3 linked regions of the Coturnix japonica genome follow. The protein of the gene in region 1 interacts with the protein of each later gene in a biochemical or structural test. Links are inferred from orthologs where the notes say so. Each region holds a gene or a part of one and is shown in the gene's direction. Other genes may lie near its edges.

What was found.
Region 2: the proteins of GNAI3 (region 1) and RGS18 form a complex in vitro, tested with the Homo sapiens proteins (2 studies listed by BioGRID). The link is inferred for Coturnix japonica from reciprocal best matches to the Homo sapiens genes GNAI3 and RGS18.
Region 3: the proteins of GNAI3 (region 1) and GPSM1 form a complex in vitro, tested with the Homo sapiens proteins (2 studies listed by BioGRID). The link is inferred for Coturnix japonica from reciprocal best matches to the Homo sapiens genes GNAI3 and GPSM1.

What each region holds. Positions count from the first base shown.
Region 1 is NC_029541.1:1,617,016-1,621,071, forward strand, and holds the end of GNAI3 (guanine nucleotide-binding protein G(i) subunit alpha), read left to right. Parts: intron 1-1,117; coding exon 1,118-1,247; intron 1,248-1,421; coding exon 1,422-1,575; intron 1,576-1,918; coding exon 1,919-2,109; 3' UTR 2,110-2,111; intron 2,112-2,178; 3' UTR 2,179-3,113; downstream 3,114-4,056. Other genes in the region: GNAT2 (guanine nucleotide-binding protein G(t) subunit alpha-2), read right to left, coding at 3,753-3,943, 4,028-4,056. UniProt on the Homo sapiens protein: Heterotrimeric guanine nucleotide-binding proteins (G proteins) function as transducers downstream of G protein-coupled receptors (GPCRs) in numerous signaling cascades.
Region 2 is NC_029523.1:3,552,210-3,557,813, reverse strand, and holds the start of RGS18 (regulator of G-protein signaling 18), read left to right. Parts: upstream 1-2,062; 5' UTR 2,063-2,303; coding exon 2,304-2,422; intron 2,423-3,110; coding exon 3,111-3,212; intron 3,213-5,604. UniProt on the Homo sapiens protein: Inhibits signal transduction by increasing the GTPase activity of G protein alpha subunits thereby driving them into their inactive GDP-bound form. Binds to G(i) alpha-1, G(i) alpha-2, G(i) alpha-3 and G(q) alpha.
Region 3 is NC_029532.1:6,447,599-6,452,695, reverse strand, and holds part of GPSM1 (G-protein-signaling modulator 1), read left to right. Parts: intron 1-2,053; coding exon 2,054-2,275; intron 2,276-2,722; coding exon 2,723-2,858; intron 2,859-3,160; coding exon 3,161-3,303; intron 3,304-4,173; coding exon 4,174-4,297; intron 4,298-5,097. UniProt on the Homo sapiens protein: Guanine nucleotide dissociation inhibitor (GDI) which functions as a receptor-independent activator of heterotrimeric G-protein signaling.

The sequences.
Region 1 (4,056 bases):
AGAAATCATTGCGTGTGATGGATGGGGATCCAGGCTCCCTTCAGCATCACAGCTGCAAACAGGGGCTGCCCCTTCCCTGCCCTCCTGGAGACACGGGGTGTCTGTAGAGGGATTTGCTCTATAAGGGAGGTGTGAGAGCTGCCATCCTGCTGTGCTGGAGCCCTGCTGTGAAGGCTCAGCTGATAACAGTGGGCTGATGTGGTGCAAGTGTGACTTGAATGTGGATCAGTGTGAGGCCGAGCTGTCAGGGATGGATGCTGTTTCCTTCCAGATTCATGTGTGCTAACAGCAGCCACGGTGGATGGTGGAAGCTGAGCAAATAGCCCCTATCTGGGCAGAGATCTTCCTCTTTCCTTCTGGGAACCAGCGGGCATTTGCCTTAAATAGAAGACAGGAGTTAGCAGAGCTGCTCTTGCGGCTCTCTGCTTTGACGTCACCGCGTTGTGTTGCTTTTGGCCCATGCTGCACAGTGCCCCCCTTGTCTGCGTGTTTGCTGTGATAACAAATCCGTGCTCATGATTTCTGTGCCTCTTGGATACACGATGGGTTGAAGGGCTCTGGGCAGCCCTGTGTCTCAGCAGAGCAGTGCTGCTATCAGCCGAGGTGCTGCACTGCAGTGCTCTCATAGCCAGGAGCTCCTACACTGAGCTTTGAGCTGCAGCAGCTCACCTGTTTGTTTCTTTCTTTCTTTGTTTCCATGCATAAAAGCGTTTCTTGACCTCACAGTGGTTTTCTTTTAGCAGCAGTGTGCAGGTAGATAGCCATGCTCCAGATAAACCTTTGTCAGGCTCAGTGTAAATGAACTGGAAGAGCTGATGTGAGTAGGTGTTTGGAGTCCAGTCAAGCAAACTGGATTGTTGCTAAGGAAATGGGAGGCAGGGAACAAAACAAGCGTGCCCTTGTGAATCAGCAGCTGATGGCTGAACCTTGGCTTGTTCTGCTCAAATGGCTCCAAAGAGAATCAGAGCCCGCTGGGGTCCTGAGGGGGGGCTCTGTGTTGCTCCCAGGCTGTGTGCTCGGTTTGAAGTGCAAACCAGGCCCTTCCATGAGCCCCCCCCACCTCCCGTGTCAGGGCAGAGCTCTGTGTGGCCTCTCAGTGTGTGCTGTGCCTCTGCAGGATGTTCGATGTGGGTGGGCAGCGGTCGGAGCGGAAGAAGTGGATCCACTGCTTCGAGGGGGTCACGGCCATCATTTTCTGTGTGGCCCTGAGTGACTATGACCTCGTCTTGGCCGAGGATGAAGAAATGGTACAATATAGGGGGGGGGTCCCAGGGTCTGTCCAATGGCCCTAGAGCTGGAAACAGGGCTCAGGCTGTGCCCTGCTTGCTGCTGTAATGTGCTCCTTGTCCTGTCTGCCCCCCACCCCTCCTCCCCGAATACCTCTGCACTGATGCATCACCCTCTTTTATTCTGCCTTTCAGAACCGGATGCACGAGAGCATGAAACTGTTTGACAGCATCTGCAACAACAAGTGGTTCACAGACACGTCCATCATCCTCTTCCTCAACAAGAAGGACCTATTTGAGGAGAAGATCAAGAAGTCCCCCCTGACCATCTGCTTCCCCGAGTACACAGGTGGGGGGCACACATAGCTGGGGTGGGCTCTCCTGTCTCCAGGCTCAGGGCTGGAGTCCAGGGCTGTGTCCTGTGGCCGTGGCTCTGTCTATAGGGTTTGTGCTGGGCAGCCCAGCCTGTGTCTGTACTCATGGGGCTGTGGTGCTGCCCAGCCCACCCATGGGTGCTGATCCCTTCTGGGGTGGCACCTCGCAGAGCTGAGGTTTGCAGGGCTGGAGGGTTACCAGTGGATTTGGTTTGGAGCTGGATAAGGCAGATGGCTGCGAGCAGCTTAAAAGATCTGTGTGCCAAACCCTCTGTGCTGTGAACTGCTGGCTGAAGTGAGGGACCTGATCTCTGCCAGGCTCCAACACGTACGAGGAGGCGGCTGCCTACATCCAGTGTCAGTTTGAGGACCTGAACAGGAGGAAAGACACCAAGGAGATCTACACGCACTTCACCTGCGCCACCGACACCAAGAACGTGCAGTTCGTGTTCGACGCCGTCACGGACGTCATCATTAAGAACAACCTGAAGGAGTGCGGGCTGTACTGAAGGTAAAGCAGAGCGGTGCGGGGCAGGGCCGGGCCGTGCTGCTCCCTCTGCTCACTGCTCTCCCTGCAGTTCTTACAGAGCTCCCTTGGCACAAGCAGACTTTGCTGCCTCGTGGGGACAGCGGCGCGAGCGGGACCAGGGGGCTGAAAGCAGCATGCAGAATCGTCGCGTTCTTTAGCACAACCTTCTGTATTAGGGACCTTTGGGATGGATGAGGGGGCGTTGAGGGTTGGGGTCAGGGCACTACAGCCCCCGTGGGACCTTCTGCGTCGCCCTGACGTCGTGTGGATGGCGTGAGCCGATGGTGTACAGCTGGTGTGGAGTCGAGGTGCTGGGTTCCAGGCCTTCCATATGTAGCTTTCTCTCTTTCTTCAGTTACCAACCCACCACTAGTCTGTTTTTAAAGGTGTTTCATTGGTTGTTTTTGTTTTATTTTTCCCCCCATTGAGATAACTATAACTTTACTAAACTGTCTTTTCTTTCTTCGCAAAAAAAAAAAAAAGGTTCTTGTTTTAAAAATAAAACCAACAGAAACTCACTGATCTATGCACACACGTGAGCAGGTCGTGCCCGAAGCTTTTCCTCGTAGCAGGAACTCTGCTTTTTAACACTCGCTGTGGTCAGAGCTCCGTATCTCTATGTCTTACAGGCCAGTTGTGCTGTGGGTTTGACCCAGCTCTATGTGGCTTTGGCCACGTCTCGGTGGCACACGGTGAGGGCAGGAGCGGCACTGAAGGCTGCGTGTTGTGACACAGCAGCTTGGTGAAGGGCACACCGTGTTGTGCATCTCCCACAGCCTTTCTGTGCAGGGTCTGTATGGACAGCATGCCTTTACTCTGTATATGTGGTGCCAAATCCCACCCCTTCCCTTTGCCATCCTGTAGTACCGTCCTTACCCCATCAGCCCCATTCCTTTGCTGACCCATCAGCTCGGGGGGGGGCTCTCATTGTGTACAGTTCTGATCTGTTGTAGCTGTTGGCAGTATTAAAATGGTGAGTGAACAGTTGGGTCCTTTCCCTCCTTTGTGCCTCTCTCTGGGTGTGGGGGGGGGGGCTGTGGGTTGTTGGTGTGTCTCAAAGCCCCACTGCAATGTGGGGTCCCACCAGCTGTGCCTGAATCCTTCAGCACAGGACAAACCAGACATCCATTCATGCACATCTCTTTATTGTTTGGTTTGGTTCGGTCGTTTCTTCTCCCTAAGTGAAGCTGCTTTGGTGGCTGCAGTGAAGATGAGAGCGTACAGGGCTTGTCTACGGCACCACGGGTTTATTTACAACCGGTAAAGAGCACATCCAGCTCTAAGTAGCAGAACTGCCAGCCGCCCTCGGTGCCCGTTTCCTCTTCCCCTGCTCTGTGCAATGTGTGGGTGCTGCCCGAGAGGAAGCTGTGCTGTGGGGCAGGCAGGGCGGCTGGGGCCCCTCCTAGTGTGGGCTCAGATGTGGGGGGGGGCAGCTCATAGAAAAAAGTGGGGGGTTGGGGAGCTCTGTGTGTCGTCCTCTTGGCTCTGCGCAGCAGAACTGGGATGTGGGGCTGCAGTCGGCTCTTCTGACAGGGGGGAGATAAGAGGGGGAACATCCATCCCCGTTGCTGCCAGCTCTTGGGGTCTGGGCTCACAGCCCCCCCCCCCACACCCCCTACCTGCTCAGAAAAGCCCACAGTCCTTGAGGTTCTCCTTGATGATGATATCTGTGACGGCGTCAAAGACGAACTTGACGTTCTGGGTGTCTGTGGCGCAGGTCATGTGACAGTAGATCTCCTTCACGTCCTTCCTCATGTTCAGATCCAGGAACTGGGTCTTGATGTAATTCCCCGCGTCTTCAAACGTGTTGGGACCTGGGGGGGCAGCAGTGGGGTTTCCCTGGTGCCGTTCCATGCTGGTGCTATGGGGTCCTTCCCCCATCTCCCCCCATCACTCACCATCATATTCAGGGAAGCAGATGCTGAGG
Region 2 (5,604 bases), on another chromosome or scaffold:
CTGTAAAAGGTTTGCTAATGTATTTCAGAGGTCAGATAAATGGTTGCTAATTAAGACATCAGTTCTCATCCTGAATTTCTTCAGAGCTTTCTAGGGCTGAAGTCATGTCATCCACATCATATTCCAGGTCTGTTTTTTTCTGGCTTAAAATAACGTACTCTCTTTTCTAGCTCGTCATCCTGCAGTATATAAACCAGCCCAGAAGCATTTACGGGGTCATTAATACCGTTGCTATAACAACTGCAGCCTGCAGTGCAAAACAGAAATGCTTATTAGCACCAGCACCATCGCTGACAAAACACAGGCTGACTTTAATGTCATTTGGCTACTTCAGGGACAGGGTTTAATATTAGCTTTCTTTTCATGGAAATAAATAAATAAATAAATAAAATAAAAATAGAAAAGAAAGAGAGAGAAAAAGATTGATTGCAGTGATTCTGTATTTTCCTTCTAAATGCCCAAATGAGTTCTCGGGAGCTGCACATCACAGTGCTGCGCTTGGGCTGATACCATTGTCACACTGCAGTACAGTCATATTTTAAGAGGCATCGTCTGCCTTGGAGTCATGTAAGAGTGGACTGGACAAGGCCTTCAGGCACGCACTGACAGATCATTGCATACACAGCATTACAGAGCTGTAAAAGCTGAAAAGATTCCATGTGACCATCTCTGTTAATGAAAAGTGAAATAAAATAATGCATTCTATGTTTATTTTTGTACTTATTGGTAAAAGGCAGGATATGTTACTAAAGACAGCTGTGGTTAAAGAGTCCTCAATAGGCAGGATGTGATAAATTAGCCTACTCTGAAACTGAAAATGTAGTTTAAAACCATAACCCTTCTTCTCAAAGGTGCTCAGGCTACAAAAAGCAGTTCTGCACTGAGTATTTTCCTTTCAGTCTGACCTTAAAATGTGAGTCACAAAGGTAATACAGAGTAGCTTCTCTCTGTTCCTTTAAAATAAAATATAATCAGTATATACACATATAGAGAGAGGGAGTGGTTATATTTCAGGAATTTGGAGATGCAGATTTTTTACATTCTTTGGACTCCGAGTACTTCCCCTCCTCCTCAGCCCTGCAGTCACAAGGAAGGGACCTGAACTTAGTAGCATGTCAGTAAGTGCACAGAACCAGCCAACGCTGTGGGAAGAGGATGAGGTCATGCCTTCTCCTCAAAGCCAGGTATCTTATCTGAGTTATCAGAATGAGTCACTGCTGTTAAGAAGAGGAAGATTCAATGAACTATGGTATCGCTTAGCTATAGCGAGGAGACTTTCTCTGGGACCATCATGCCAGTTGCTCTTTTCCAGCCTCTTATTCAACTAACAGTGGTTTCTTTGGTGGATTTATTATTCCTGTGGCATCTCCAACATAAATTGTACTAGAATGAGACATTTAACTGAGAATGAGCTTGTATGTTAAGAGCTAATTTGTGACAATTAGCCTTACAAAATAGCACATTTAGGTTATGGAAGCTGAAGTAGGAAATTTTTAGTTATATGGTGTTAAAATGAGAATAAATCACTTTCTTGTGTATGTGTGTGTGCTGAGAGTGTTTTTACTCAGGCTGGGAGACTGTAAGTCAAAATAAAGCCACAAAAGATACATGGGAAGCTGTAAGTGGACAAGCTTGAAATTAGCAGTAGGTGTTCACCACTGCTGAAAAATGATGCAAAGATCAAAATATATCCTTACAAAAATATTTTATCAACCACCAGGACAGCCTCAGAAATGCCAGGTTTCCTGTTAGCATGTTGTAGGTAGAGCTGACTTTGTGTCTAGCATATGGCATCGGAGACTGCAGAAGGCAATTTAAGGTCATCTGGAAGTTCCTCTAGGAGCTTAAGGGTAACGTTACCCATTTTGTACTACAAAGCGATTCTCATTGAAGTTCATTTTAGAGGAGCCATACGCACTTTTCAAACGTTTTTTTATGGGGAGAAGATGGTGGCATCATCCTAATGATTCTAGCATGTGGAGTTCCACAAACACTCTGCTAAAAGCTGTGTTTGTCCGTATGAACAGCGGCCATTTTGCAGAGTTGTAATCTCACTTCCTTAAATGACGACTGTAAAAGCAGAACTCTACTTCAAGTCCTGTGTGCGTGCAGCTGCAGTGACAGCTAAGGTGGTGAACCTCCTCCTTCCCACTACCTGCTCTGGAAACTGATCTACAGCCAATTGGGGGAAGCCAGCCTGAGACAGCATGAACACGCCTTGCTGAACACACCGCTTATACAGATGAAACCACTGTAAGGGAGTTAAAGGAGCGTTCTGTAAAACTGGGAAGCTTATTTAGAAGATGGAGAACCCACTTCTTTTGTTCACTCAACTGAACAATTCTGCTTCGAAGGATAAATCCTATTACAAAGTCACGAAAGCAACAGTTAAAGAAGAGCCAAATAAAGCAAGCAAGCCTGGGTAAGTTTTAAGGTCATGCTGACACTTTGAGTGTTGTTTATGCAGAGGATTCTTCTAACATAGCTTGTGGGTGTGAATTTAGGGCTCAGATCTTTCTGGTTTTGACCAGCATATGTGAAAACTGGTGAACTGCAAGCCTGGGAATTGTAGACATGAAATATTCATTCAACAAGGAAATATTTTTTAAGAACAAGAAACAAATAAATAATAAACTAAGTAAATGGGAAAGGGAGGCTTCACAAAGTTCTGAAAAGGGCTTTTTAAACCCTTAGTGTGAGCTGGAAAATATTCTTTGTAAAGACTTCAAGTGTGAGGAAGCACTGCTTCCTTTTTTCTTTGCAGAACATTAAAAGTAGAAGATGCTGAGCCAACTGTTTTGTGTGTCCACGAACTGCGTTCATGTTCCTAATATGAAATCTCATCCTTCTCCTTCAAGATTAGTGGAAAGTGTATTGGAAACAAAAAGATGCCCACTTCTGTTTGCCAGTGCTTCATATACAATTCATGTTAATGTCTGAAAAAGAAATTAATTAATGTGAATAATATAAATAGGAGAAGTAGTGGAAATATTAGTGTAAGTGAACCTGTGGTGCAGAGGCAGAGATATTAGTCAAAGAAAATGCCTGGAAAAAAAAAAACCAACATTTTTACTAAGGTTGATTTAAAGGCTACTTGAACTCTGTTGTAGAGCAAAACAGAAGAGAAACAGACTGAGCCTTCTCCTGCAGAAATCTGAATTACATGAAGCTGAACATCTTGGTAAACCAACGAGCTTGACAAAAGCAGCAAGGTAGGCATTATAAAAGGCAGAGACAATGGGGATTCCTTCTAGGAAGTGTTGGTGTGACCCAGAACATTTCCTGCATATGCGTGTGTGCATTCAGACTTGGCAGAGAGTAATACTTTGAAAATCTGTTTCATTTAGAGTTGGCTATCGAACTCAAGCATACAAATGGTACAGAATTATCTGGCCTAGAACAAGGGAACTCACAAGCAGTGTTTTCACACCACTAAGTGCAGACTGTTACCTAGACATGCACATATACCAAAATCTTTACTCACACCAATGGTGTTTTTCTTAGCCCACTGGTTATCCCAAGCAAGCACTTACTCAGAAATAGAGGTGAAAATTACTGTTTAGAAGGAATTATGCAGCTCCTGGGATAACAGATATTCCAAAGAATTCTGGATGCATGTGAACTACTGGATGCATAGTTCCTTGATAATCGCATTATTGACAAAACACCGTCTCGTCTCCCAAATTCAAATACTGATGTTTCAACACTGCTGTAATATTGTCTCTGTGACACTATTTCCCATAAAGACAAAGTGGGAAGTATTATTTTTTGGTAAACTCAGTGAGAACTCACTTAGTTCTTGACCTCACCAGGACACCAGAATCTTAGAGATGTACAAAGAATTTGTAGGTCTTGAATGAAAAGTACTGCAGAAGTACTGCAACTCCGAGGTCGAAAAAATTAGTAGCTCCCTTCTTTCCACTGCAGAACACTTTAGAGATTCCCATCCCATTTTTAAGTCTTGTTAACGTTGTCTAAGCAATTACTGCTTTGCCGGCCAAGATGTATTGCTTTGACCAGAATGCCTTCTCATAGAAGTAAACATTGTGGCTATCCAAGTGATAGCACGTACTCAAGAACTGGAAGACTTTCCACGCTCCCAGGGGAGGATTTCATTGCTTTCCACCTCCCCTCTCTTTCTTTGTTGTGTTGTTCTGCTTAATTCTACCGTGGTTCTACGGTTCACTTAAAAGATCTTGAAGCTATGAACAAAGGTAAAGGACTGCAGCAAACAACCTTTTTCAGTTCCTCAGTTCCAGACACATAAAACTGTCCTGAGATTGTACCTAAAATGAAAAAGCACAGCCTCCACGCCACCTGTAGGCAGATGATACCTTTTCAATGCTCATATTTATTTTGGTGGCTGATTACTGCTGGGTATTTCATACCCAGTTTCTGGTTTCTCTTTGTTATGGCAGGAGCCCCTGGTGTGCCATTGCCTTGGGGATCTGTGAAGCTACTTTCTTTCTAAAAGAAACTGAAGAAATCACACTAGGAGTTGTCAGCAAAGGACCTCTCCCACATTCTGTGCACTGTTGGACTGTGTATGTGCTCTGAAGCCATCAGGGCTTATCTTTCACCATTACCAAATTCATTTCTGTGGCTGCAGTAGCCTGTTATTCCCAGATGTACAAGCACACACGGTTCAGAGAACTGCACTCTATGTACTTCCCATAATTAAAAAACTCTGTGAGGGAGCAAGGTCTCACTTTCCCCGACTCCAGAATTCCCCTGCTTTATTGGCCTACGTTCATTTTTCACATTTCAGTTCTCCATTATTTGTATGCCTTGAGAACTGTTTGTCTCTCCCTAGCTAAGAATTTCATTCCTATAAACAATTACTTCAGCTAAGAGACACATGACACCTGTAAAAGTCTAAAATAAAAATCCTCCTTTTACTTATTATACAAAACCAAGAGCATTATTGGCTTAAATGCCCTCTCATAGTCACTGGAATTTCCCTTGGACTATATTTCATGTGACTACAGATTTTGCCAAGGGAACCCAAGCTATGTAAATCAGGCAACAGAAAAAATGTGAGCCTGGGGCAGAAAAGAGGCATCACTTCCAAAAGCATTCAATGCAGAACAAGTTCTTCTGGTTTTCAGCTCCACTGTCAACTAACACTAGACAAGCTGCTTAAATGAGGACATTCCCACTCTGAGTACAACACTATGTGACCAAATGAAAATGGTTCTAAATGTTAATATCCATTCTTCACCTTCAGACTTAGAAGTCTGAGCATGATAAAGTTAATGCCAGCCTTGTGCCTGTTTCTGTATTATGCCAGTCTGTGTGTGCAGGGAAAACCTACACAGAACAGAGTGGTTCCTGAAAATTTTATTTGGAAGAATAGAATTATTATTACTTTCCTACCTGTATAGTTCTCTAAGATGGAATATTGGAAATAATTGGTAAATACATGCAACTTGGCACAGATGATGAAGAATACCTGGAGTTTTATAAACTGAGTGCAGCATCTCAGAATCACGTGACATTTGAGACGTGTCTGTGGTGAACAAACCAGACTGTATGTGCTAATACCCTAGAAAACTATCACCTAGACCATACCACTACAGCTTCGTCTTCAGCCTACTGAACTTC
Region 3 (5,097 bases), on another chromosome or scaffold:
CTGCTTGCACTGGAGGGCTGTGTCACTGCAGTGTGCCTGAGAACCAGGGGAAGCTCCTGGTGAGTGTGAGTGTGCACAGGTGTGTGTGTGTCAGGGCAGGGCTGAAGCATTCTGTGTGCTCCTGCCAGTGCTTCCACCTGTAAATGGAAGCTTAACAGGATGCTGCTCTTGGAGTGCTCATCTGGGCTCTGTTGTTGTAGGGTGGGGAACAATCATTGTTCAGATCACACAGCAGCTGTGCTTGGTCCATGGATGCAACGCCATGAATTAGGCAAGCTGTTCTCCAGTTTGGTTTTTAGACTCTATGTTGGGTGAACTCAAGCTGCTGAAGAGAGCCTGGTTATTGGGATGAGCTTTGACTGTTGAAATGTGAAACAAAATTATTCAGAGTCTGCTTCTGTCTGCAGCCTCCCAACCTCAGTTCCTGTGACAGTGGCTCCATTTCCCCACATTTTGAGTCCTTTCAAGTTTCTTCTCTAAGTTCCCTGAATTTTTTTGCTCATTTAGGTGTTCATTTTCTTTCTCCAGCCCCAAAACTTCTTGGGGACCGTTGGCAGATGTCTGTCAGTTCCTGACATCGCCTGCTCTAGTGATCTGCAAACCACACAGCTCGCCACGATCCTGCAATGGGCCCCTTGAACTCAACACTCTGCAGCAGAAGCTCATTCTTACTAATTTTCTTGTGGCTTGGCTCAATGTACTGTGGAGAGGAGTTAAACATTTTTAGTACCAGCAGTCAAACATTTTCCTTTTTCCTGTATCAAACAGGGCTTCAGGCATGGAGCAATGCTGCGCTGGCACTACAAGCAGCCTTCTTGCACAAGTAAAAGAGCCCCTTGGGTGCAGGCTGTGGAGGAGCTGTGTTGGTTGAGGTGGGAACTCTCAGGGGTTGTGAAACAGCTTCTTTCTCCCTGCTGTTATTTGGTGGCTTTGGGGACCAAAGAGCAGTGAGATGGGAGAGGTTGCAGGGCTGGCCCTGGATGTGTTGTGAGTGTTATTTTGGGGGAGGCATCTCCCAGGGCTCAATGTGTGCCTGTATAGGAGGCAGCAGTGGGGCTGCAGCTGTACCACGCATGTTGTTCTCAATCTGTGTAGCATGACTGAACTCCCTGCAGTGCTGTTTTGCTGAGAATAGAATAGAAGTCTCCTTTGGGTGTTTATCATCTTCTGTCTGACTGTTGCTCTTCTGACTCGGGATGAGTGAGCTGTGATTTTTCAGAGCAGACATCTGCCTTTGACCCATGTGGCTCTGAGTGTCTAAAATACATGAAGCAGAAAGGGGGAAAAAAAGCCAAAAGGAGTGAAGAGAAGGCTCTGAGCAGAGACACAGGAACACATTGCATCCACCCCCTTGTCTTGGAGGGGCTGACTTTCCAAACACAAGCTCTCATACTTGTGCCCTGTCCTGGTGGGTTCAAGGCTGCTCTGAGCTCCTGGGGGTGGCTGTGATGTAGGACTCAGTGGGGAGCAGGGCGTTCCAGTGGCAGCAGCCTTGCTCCTCTGTGCTCACAGCCCAGTGTGCACTGCTGCCAAAGGTGTTGAGAAACAGGAGGGAGAGCAGCTTGCCTGCAGGCTGATGTGCAGAGTGCTTGTGGAAAAAGTGACAGGCAGAGCTAATGGAAAGCAGCCCAGTTGCTCAGCCAGGGAGCTGTGTGCAGCCCAGGATTGTGCTGGTATCCAATGAGGAGGTGTTGGGCTTTGGCTGCCCTTACTGTTCCCCTGGGAAAGCTGCATACGCATGAGCAGCCCAAGTGTGAGACTTCTGTGCTATGCACCCTCTGGAAGAAGAGCAGATGCCATGCTATGCTCAGGATGCCAGCACGCAATGTGGGCACTGGGAGGCACGAGTTCCTTGTCCTGCTTCCAACCACGAACCCAAGGGCTGCTTGTGGCCGCTCACAGGTGCAGCCTGTAGCTCTGGGTGCTTCTGTCTCACATGCAGGAGTTTTTCCTGATGCAGTGAGTAATTAGATGTATGTTGAGCTGCCTTTTTAACCACTGCATGGTGGCATGGGCACACTGGGTCTAAAGGTGGGCATCTTGCTTTTGACAGAATGGAGGCATCCTGCCTGGAGCTGGCTCTGGAAGGAGAACGTCTGTGTAAGGCAGGGGACTTCAAAGCTGGGGCAGCCTTCTTTGAAGCAGCAGTGCAGGTGGGGACAGAGGACCTGAAGACTCTCAGTGCCATCTACAGTCAGCTGGGCAATGCCTATTTCTACCTAAAGGAGTACTCCAAGGCCCTGGAGTACCATAAGCATGACCTCACACTGGCCAGGTAAGTGTGTTGGCTGTTCTTCATCCTAAGCAGAATTTGAGCAAAGGAAAGTTCTGTGGCATCGGAGCCCAACAGGATGAGGGAACCTACCCTAGAAATGAGCGTCCAAGGTAGCTCTGAGGTGTGGAATTCACCATCATATAAAGAACACAGGAGGCAGAGGAAGGGATATGGAGGAGAGTGGCTGGAGCAAGAACATGGCAGTGTCTGATTCTTCCCTCCCCATTCATGGGAAGCACACCTGAAGCCATTAGAAGTCTCCAACCGAGAAAGCAAAACAGTGAACAAGAGTGTCAAGAGAAGCTGGGGATACCTGGATGTGGTGTCCATACCATGCAGTGTTTGCTACAACTTTGCTCTCTGTAACTTGAATTTTGCCTCCAACAGTTGATGAATAAATGTCTGTCAGCTCTTTAATACCTTTCCCTTTGTTGGGTCATCTTGTAGAACCATTGGGGACCGCATTGGAGAAGCCAAGGCAAGTGGCAACCTCGGGAATACATTAAAAATACTTGGGCAGTTTGATGAAGCTGTTGTTTGTTGTCAGAGACACCTGGACATTTCTCAGGAGCAGGGAGACAAGGTAACTGCTCCATAGCATCCAGCAGGATGTTTCTGCTCTGTGTCCTTCCTGTCTTGAAGCTTAATCCACCCTCAAGCCCCAGTGAATGATGATTTGGTTGATGTGGGCCCTGGTAGGAGCTGGGATGTCAGATTCTCCCTTCTGACCCCATCTGATGCTGCTGATGGGCAAAGCTGGCATGGCAGTGAGGGTGGTAAAGGAGAATGTGGGCTTTGGCTGAGCATCTCTTCTCAGCAATGGAAAGGGTCATGTTGGGATGGGGAGGGTAATGCCTTGCTGTGTCTTTCTCTTCCCTCTTTTAGATATGTGAAGCCAGAGCACTCTATAACATAGGAAATGTTTACCATGCAAAGGGAAAGCATTTATCTTGGAACATGACCCAAGATCCGGGCTGCCTGCCTCAAGAAGTCAAGGAGACGCTACAGAAAGCTTCAGAATACTATGAGTAAGTATTCAAGTGTGGCCACCCTTTTGTGCTGCAGGGAACTGGCATCAGTCACTGATAAAATGCTGTTAGCAAGTAGGAATGTTCCTCCAACTGTGAGGGGCCAAGTTATGCTAATGAATTCATCTCAAGGAAGGCAAGGGAAGGGCTGCATGCTTTTACAGAGCTTGAGCTAAAGCTTTTCCTACTAGTGCCTCAATAAAAGCCTTTGCAGCTTGACTTTGCATGCACTGAAGTTCAATAGTCTGCTCTGGGAGGAGAGCTCCTGCGGCCCCTGCTGCTCTCTGCTGGCCTTGGTGGGAATGGATCCCTGCACATCTCGCTATGGCCACAAACAGAGCTGCTTCTCCCAAAGGATGAGGCTTTTCCTTTGGAGCAGTGTTTCCCCTTGGAAGGGATCTGTAGTTCATCCTGCTGTAACATCCTTCCCTTTCTTAAACAGTTGCAGAGTTCACTCTGATGTTCAGCACAGGAAGGTTATTGCCCAGCTTGCTTTTAGGCCAATAGTTTTCTCTTACTACCTCAGCTTTGTTTCAGTAACACAGGTGTTTTTTTAAATAGCTTTTTACATGAAGAGAACACCAAGATCTTGCATCAATCTCCTCATACCTGAGGATGTGTTAATGCTGCTGTGTGGCTCGCTAGCCTTTCCCCAGTGAGTGATGCATGTTGCACAGGCAGTGATTAGATTAGTGCCACTGAGAGCTCTGTGTGTGCTGGGAAGAACCATAACAAGGGAATATAAATCTCCCCCTATCCTCAGGTTCATTCCTGCCTTGCTGGGGATAATATCTCTTCTCTGATGCTCATAGCAACCCTTGTGCTGTAGGTTGACTGTGGGAGGACAAATATTGCTCTGCTTCCTTGCAGGAGGAACCTGTCCCTGGTGAAGGAGCTGGGGGACAGAGCTGCACAGGGCCGTGCTTATGGCAACCTTGGCAACACGCAGTACCTGCTTGGCAACTTCAGCGAAGCCATTGCCTTCCACAAGGAGGTGGGAAAGCATGTGGGGATCTCCCTGGGGGATGGAAGGGCCAATAGGGAGCAGGCTTTCTGCTCAGCTGTGGGGGGCACAGACCCCCATGTGTGTCAGCCCCTGCCCTGATGTGCTGTGCTGCCTTACTGCATTCCTCATCAGCACCTGATGAGCAGTGTAAGGGAAGGGTGCTGTTGGCTTGGAAACCAAAGGAGATTTCTAAGGGCAATTTGCAGCTGGGCCTAGGAAAGGCTTTTCTGTGCTTAATTTGTGCCAGTCTAAATTGTAATAAATGCAAGCCGTGAATCCAATTAAGCTGCTGAAAGAGCTGCTGATCAGGAATAATTGTTGTTTGTAGAGCACAGCTACTTTCTGTGAAGCTTTTCAGAGGGGTGAGACCACGCAGTCCCTGCCCCAGTTCAAATGCAATTCAGTTTCTTGTTGAGAGCTGACACTATTTCTTTCAAAGTGGAGGGTACTGAGTATATCAGGCAGTCAGGCCCTGCCAGAGCTGCTCTGGTTTTGTTTGAGAAGGTGTTGGGGACAGCAGTGCTGTGAAAAAAGGTACATGAAGGGGCTGCACGGAGTTGTTCTGCCCCTTTCTTGGAGCCAAAAAGAGCATGTTGGGATGGGAGTTGCAGGAGGATGTCTCTGCTCTGTGTCCTTCCTGATGCTGAGTTGCAAAAGATGGAGAGAGTTCCTGCTGCATCCAGCCCTGATGTGCACATGCACCGCTGTGCGTCTGGATGTAAACTCTTACAAAACAAGAAGCTAATCTCCCAGCAAAGTTGCTGTGTAACAGAAGTCTGGCATTGCCA